2 linked regions of the Kluyveromyces lactis genome follow. The protein of the gene in region 1 purifies or fractionates together with the protein of each later gene. This does not show direct contact. Links are inferred from orthologs where the notes say so. Each region holds a gene or a part of one and is shown on either strand. Other genes may lie near its edges.

Evidence for each region.
Region 2: the proteins of REV3 (region 1) and POL32 purify together in Saccharomyces cerevisiae (affinity purification with western blotting; 3 studies listed by BioGRID, with this or other methods). This does not show direct contact. The link is inferred for Kluyveromyces lactis from reciprocal best matches to the Saccharomyces cerevisiae genes REV3 and POL32.

What each region holds. Positions count from the first base shown.
Region 1 is NC_006039.1:854,995-858,932, reverse strand, and holds the start of REV3 (DNA-directed DNA polymerase), read left to right. Parts: upstream 1-969; coding exon 970-3,938. Other genes in the region: SET6 (Set6p), read left to right, coding at 1-75; ATG29 (Atg29p), read right to left, coding at 64-528. UniProt on the Saccharomyces cerevisiae protein: Nonessential DNA polymerase. Required for DNA damage induced mutagenesis. Involved in DNA repair, mitochondrial DNA repair and translesion synthesis.
Region 2 is NC_006041.1:1,996,531-1,999,971, forward strand, and holds POL32 (DNA polymerase delta subunit POL32), read left to right. Parts: upstream 1-1,656; coding exon 1,657-2,826; downstream 2,827-3,441. Other genes in the region: KLLA0_E22397g (uncharacterized protein), read left to right, coding at 363-1,241. UniProt on the Saccharomyces cerevisiae protein: DNA polymerase delta (DNA polymerase III) participates in chromosomal DNA replication.

The sequences.
Region 1 (3,938 bases):
AACCGGAGAAGGGCAATATTGAAGGATAATTGGTTTTTTGAATGCAAATGTAGTAGATGCCTCTCAGAGTTGTAAACAATCCATCAATGCGTCCTCAAGTGCTGACTTGCTCACACTTAAATTCGAAAGTTCACTACTAGACTCTTGATTATTGGCTAAGTTGTCCGTCTTATCCAATTTATGATTCATTATTCTTGATGCCTGTAAATTTTGGAGAATGTTGTTGTCAACGGAATTTCGTGACTCTGATGAGGACCGGGTATTAGATGTAACGTCTATTTGGTTCGATAAAACTTTTAGTTGATTTTGAAATAAAGTATAACTCCGTTTTTTGAGAAAGGGTTCTGGTGCACCTAAATCAGCCCCCAATTCCTGCCAATCCATATCCTCTAACGAGTCAATTTTTGAGATTTTGGTCCATAGAATCTTATCTCGACGAGAATCCCAAATAAATGGTTTTGTTTCGACAAAATTTTCAGGTCGTTTACCTGCCACTCTTACGTACACTTTTGTGTTGTCATTATTCATTGTAAATACACCTCACACTGTGGATTTTATAGAATCACCAAATTTCTTCCTATACCACAGAATCTAGATTAGAACAATTTAAAGTAACATTTGCTATTAAATTCGATTAGGAACTTGCGGTGAATGTTGTTCAACTAGATCTCACTTTCATCTCGGACAACTCCAGTATACGAGAATCACTTTAGCTAAAATATGATTATTCATTACGTATCAGAATGATCACAATATCCGGGTAATCATGAATACTAATATACCCAACTATAATCAAGTTTAGCCCAACTTTGCAGGATTGCTCATCGCTATTTCTCATCTGAAGTTTGGTCACAGTATATCACCCATTAATCAAGGATATTACTTTTATACCATTCACATCGTTTACATCAGAAGATATAACTGTGCTACATTAAGGTGACTGTAATCTGATATGATGATTACTTGCAGATGAGTGATATTTTTGGTTCTTTAGACTCCAGCTTAGACTCCAATGAAATCAACATACAGATTAATAATTCAGACAGCTATCAATGCTTCCCAACTCTATTGGATTGTAAAACTAGTAAGAGCCTTCCTGGACTTCGATTTGTTCAGGTGCCAGTACTAAGGTTCTATGGATGTTTATCTACCGGACACAAAGTTCTAATTCATTGCCATGGCATTTTCCCTTACATATTCATCAAATATGACGGACATTCGAATGATAAAGCATCAGTAATACGGAATAGATGTACCAGTTTGCACAAAATACTTGAGACACGGATGATTGAAACTTTTACCAAAACAGATTTTAAAGAGAAGCTAACTTCCCTGAAATACATTGCTAATGTGTCCGTTGTCAAAGGCGTTCCATTTTACGGATACCACGTAGGATATGAACCTTACTATAAAATTACTCTTTTGAATGGTTCATATAGTAATAAACTCTCTGAATTACTTAGAGATGGCAGAATATTCACCTCAAAAGTGGATGTCTTTGAGGCTCATATACCTTATTTATTGCAAATGATGGCTGACTATAACTTATTTGGTTGCGGATGGTTAAAACTATCCAAATGCTATTTTCGGCAACCTGTTCTGTTAACTGATCTAGATATGAATGAAATATTGCACACGGACTCTTTGGAACGTTTTTTGAAAAAACACTTGCATCCGAATCAAAATGTTTTAGACATAGATCCATTTCATCGAATTGGAAAGACCTTTCTTGAAATGGATATTATTCCACAGTTCATTTTAAACAGAGAAGAAATTCAATTCAGGGATTTACACCATGATTTTGTTGAGCTTAAGAAAGACCTTCAAACATCAGATCAAGGATATGTTAATTCTACAAAAGATATATGGAAAGAGATACAACTGCTTAGGAAAAGGAAAGGGCTTGCTGAATATGAAGGATTAAAAGAAATATTTCGAGAATCTCAATTACAATATAATTGGAAAGAAGATGAAAGGTTGGTGAAACACTTTGATGAAGCTAAGAAACGAATGTCTTCCCTTTTTAACAAAGAAAAAGCTTTAAATTTTGACAACTTTGTGGATCCTTTCATTAATGAGAATTTTTTTGCAAGTACCAAAGACGCCCTTCAAGAATTATGGCCCAAAATACCAAGGAATGCTAGTAGTAAAGTATTCTGTTGGTCAGAAGTAGAATTCAAATTGAACAACCAATATACTTCTGTTCGTGAACAAAAAGTAGCGTCTACAAACACTAAAAATATTCCCATTTTGCTAAATATTTCCTCCAATGAATCGCACTCTTCACATGTCAGTTCCAAACGTGCGGAGGAATCTTCATGTCATGACGATATTGCTAATGAAGCAATTGCTAGGAAACTGGCAAAACGAAAAACATCTGCTATTAGAAAGTCAACATTTCGCCCGATGATCAGACCTAGCGTAACACACGCTAACATCAAGGAGAGTTTATCTGCTAACCAAATTGAAGAAGTTCAGTATAACGATCCATTTTTCTCCAATCCACTTGATTGTAAAAGGCTACAAACGGAAATGGCTGGTCGAGTGTTCAAGCTATCAAGTGATCATATCCTCTTTAAAAGAAGCATCCGTAGTAACGATACAACAGCAACATTAACTTCTTCAGGAAGTGTATATGCAAGAAGCAGATGGAAATATATAAGACCAAAGCCGTCTTTTAAAAGAATAGCCAATGCGATGAAGCCTTTCAAAGGTAAATTCTCGATGGTGGAGGGGAAAACACCAGAACTACCATTCGGATACAAGTTCAAGAGCAATAAAATAGAAAAAAATAATAACGCTTCTAATAGAATGACCCATTTCACCATGGAAATTCACGTCAATACTCGTGAAGATAAGTTTCCAGATCCTAAATATGATGCTGTCAGGATGATATTTTGGAAAGTGCAAGATGGAACTTTTCCATTCGACCTGGATATTACTCAAGAAGGTGTTTTGATATTTCTAGACGATGTCTCGACAGAAAATTCATGGAAAACTGCCGATCCTAGTGTTCATATAACTGCTTATTACGATGAATTGGAAATGATATATGCATTAGAAGATTTAGTGAGGTTTTTCGATCCTGATATCTTGTCAGGATACGAAATACACTCTTCCTCGTGGGGCTACTTGATTGATAGATGTCACAAGGGACATGATTATGATGTGGAAGATGAACTCTCTCGAGTCGATTATAACCAGAGTAGCAAAAAAAAAGACAGATGGGGTTACACTCACGCAACAGCATTTTCGATAACGGGAAGACAAATGCTAAACATATGGAGGCCTCTCCGCTCTTCTTTGAATCTTCTCGATTATACATTAGAAAATATTGCATTTCATGTTTTACACCAACGGTTACCTTTTTATTCGTACAAAACCAGGACAGAGTTCTATGAATCTATGGACGAAACTTCAAAAAGGTGTCTCCTATTTTACTGGATCACAAGACTTCGAGTAAATTTCAAGCTTTTAGAGACTCAGAATATAATTGGAAAAACCATCGAGCAAGCAAGACTTATCGGGATTGACTTTTATTCTGTCCTTTACCGTGGCTCACAATACAAGGTTGAATCCTTTTTAATTAGACTTTGCAAATCAGAACAATTCATTCTGATTTCTCCAAGCCGAATGCAGGTCCGTAACCAAAAAGCACTCGAATGTATACCACTTGTGATGGAACCTTCATCTGCCTTTTACAAGAGTCCTTTATTAGTTTTAGACTTTCAATCATTATACCCATCCATTGTTATGGCATATAATTATTGTTACAGCACTATTATCGGAAGAGTTGAATCATTAAATACTAAAAATAATGAAATAGGTATCACAAGGTATGATATCCCTGAAGATTTACTAACTTTAATATCTGATTATATCACCATCTCACCAAATGGTATCGTCTTTGTCAAAAAAGAACTGAGAAAGTCAGTTTT
Region 2 (3,441 bases), on another chromosome or scaffold:
GGAATCAAATAGATGACTTGTCCCTCAGTTGCATTACACATACTTGTACGGTATATATGTGTGCATGTGTGGGGGGTGGGTGGAAAGGCACAAAGCAAGGTAGCTTTTTTTTTTTTTGATTTGATTCCTGAGATGTTTGTATGTTCTAAACCATATAATTTTTCAAGTGAAATACTTCTAAGTTTATCCGAAGAAACGAAAATACAAATTATGCATATATAAATAATTGTAACTTTTTAGTTTCAACCCTATTGCTGCTCCAATCTTGCTTGCAATATGCTTTATTCCCTCAATTGGGTTCATAATTGGGAAATTTGAACAAGCGAAATCCACACTATCAATTAACCTCATCAGACACAGATATGTCATTCCAAAGTTTCATCAAGACTCCAACTGAAGACACCGTCGTTCCACAAGCTCCTCCAACGGAACAGTACCCACAAGGTGTCAATTACCTCAATTTGTTCAGTCAAAAGGGCAAATTGACCGTTATTACTGGTGGTGCTGGTGCCATTGGTGGCGCTCTATGTGAGGGTTTCGCTTCTTGTGGTTCAGATGTCATTATTTTGGACAGAACCTTCCAACCAGAACTTTCCGTCCATTTGAGCAAGACTTACGGGATTGAATCCAAGTCATACCAAGTAGATATTACCAACGCTGACGACGTTAAATTTGTCTTTGAAAGAATCTTGGAAGATTTCCCAGGTCGTGCAATTAACACATTCATTGCTAACGCAGGTATTGCCTGGACTAACGGTTCTATCTTGAACGATGGTTCCACCCCAGAAATGTGGCGCAGAGTCATGGACGTTAACGTCCAAGGTACTTACCACTGTAGCAGGTACGCTGCTGAAGTATTCAAGAACCAAGGCCACGGTAATTTGATCTTGACTGCTTCTATGTCTAGTTACATCAGTAACGTTCCAAACTACCAAACCTGTTACAACGCTTCTAAAGCTGCAGTAAGACACATGGCCAAGGGTTTCGCCGTCGAATTCTCTGGTTTGACCTCTCCAGCTGGTAAGATCAGATGTAACTCTGTATCACCAGGTTACACTGATACTCTGCTATCCTCCTTCGTTCCTACTGAACAACGTGCTCACTGGTGGGGTCTAACACCAGTGGGTCGTGAAGCTTTGCCACAAGAATTGGTCGGTGCTTACTTATACTTGGCTTCCGATGCTGCTTCTTACACCAACGGTTGTGATATCCAAGTTGACGGTGGTTATACCTGTGTTTGAATCCTGTTGTAGAAAAAGCTTCGTCAACACCTATTACTGATAATTGTCACTGCCTTTTCCCCTACATCATGCTCAAAATATTTCTGTTTAACCTAACTACATTAAAAATAGAGTTAAAACTAGAGTGGTTCCTTCTCTTTCACATACTATGTAATAATTTTATATACCCAATTCTTATATGGGGTGATCATTAGTATCATACATCGACCCTTTCACTACTATTGCGAAGCTTCCCCCCATTGAGCCTTAATGTCTAATTGTCAACACTTTGTTACGCGTAAACGGTGCTAACCAAAAAAAAAAAAGACGCAACTTCACTCAATCATCATTTAGTGCTATCTGCACAGAGCGATGAGAATTGAAGAGAGAGAATAATAAAAAGAGCAAGCAAGCTCGAGCTGATCATCATCGAAATATGGTAACAGCGATAGAGAATTTTATCACGCAGAAACTCATCAATGACTGTAAACCTGTAACATTTTTAGACTTGTGCGATGAGTTTTCGATAAATGTGAACAAAGCAAAGAATGAGATGGTACAGTACTATAGCACTACGAGACATGAGTCGATCCAATGCATTGTAGTATGTGTTTTGAAGCACAATGTAATACAAATGATTACGGATCCCGAGAAACTACCGGAAAAGGAAGACATAAAGGATTTCTTCATCTATGCGTTCAACCCACTGGAAACTATTGATTTGACAAATAGAGAAAGAACACACGTTACGATCAAGAACCCCTACAAGCTGCACAATCAAAATGGCACACGGCCCCAGACAAGCGATGGTATTGGAAGTGTAATTAACATAACCACCCAAGATGTGACTCAAAAAATGGTGGCCGGCCCCAAGAAAAAGTCTGAGGCAGAACCGGTCGTAACGAAGCAACGGGCAAAGACGTTCCCAGAAGTTGCTGTTACAAAACCTAAGAAACCAACTAAGAGTATGGGTCTAAAATCTACTGAACTTCTGGCCAGAATGAGAAGAGAAAGAGAGGAGAAGGAGAAGAACAGACAAGAGGAATTGGAAAGGAGGAAGCACCAGCAGCAGGATAAAAATCACGTCGTGGTAAGCCAAGAGAAACAAAAACAATTGGACCAACTGGCCTCGATGTTTGACGATGATGATGACGATGATTTAGCCCAATTCGATAAAAATTCTAAAAAGCGTGATAAGAAAGAGGAAAGCGAAGAAGAGGCTGAAGTAAACCACCCTGTAGCGATAGAATCAGTACCTTCACAAGAATCACAACCAGTAAATCTAGACCGCACTGTCACAAACTTAGAAGAACTACTTGACACGACGGTAGACGAATCCTTAATGGAACTATCTCAACCAGAAAAGGAAAAGGAAAAGGAAAAAGAAGAGCCAGTCCACGAATCGAAAGAACAGACCACATATATAGACGAAGATGGATACATGGTTACTAAGAGACCAGCTACAGAAACGAAGAAACCACCAAAGCCTGTGAAATCAGCGAAAACGGCAGAACCGTCAAAGAAACCAGCAACACCAGTCGAGAAAAAGAAGGCTCGCTCCAGTCAACGTACACTTGAGAGTTTTTTCGGTAAGAAAAAGGGATGAGTAAATTAACTTGTGTATTTATTCAAATAGTTTCAAATAGATTCGGATGATACAGACGATACAAACGCTGGCACTGGCACTGACACCTAGATAGAAATATACGGCGACTCACGTGACCCAAAACAAAACATTAACACGTGAATAAGTTACCCGAATACACCGTACGCAACGATGTGAACAGGCCACCACGTCCCCTTCTTTGTGCGATTTCTTCTATCAGAGAAAAGGGGTGGTTAATATCGTTTCAAACGATTTATCTTGCCCTTTCTATTGAGATTGAAATTTAAGAATTTTGGATTAACAAAGATTATAAGACAGAGGAAATGATTAACTACCACATTGCCAGACAGCTTGTACGGCAATAAATTAATTGGTGTTTCATTATACTTTATTAAAGAGTGAGTTCACAAAAGTTAGATCGCTATAGCTTTAGACTGGGTTTTGAAGATTATTGCTCAATCACTTATCGCCCGTTGAAAATCTTTCCTTTTTATTTTGGACCGATATTCCAAATTACTCTTTCAATTGAATATTATCATCGCATTTTAAGAGTCCAAACGTTTTAAAGTTACTTCTGAAACTGGTTTTTTAATTATCCTTTAAGAAAGTTTTCAG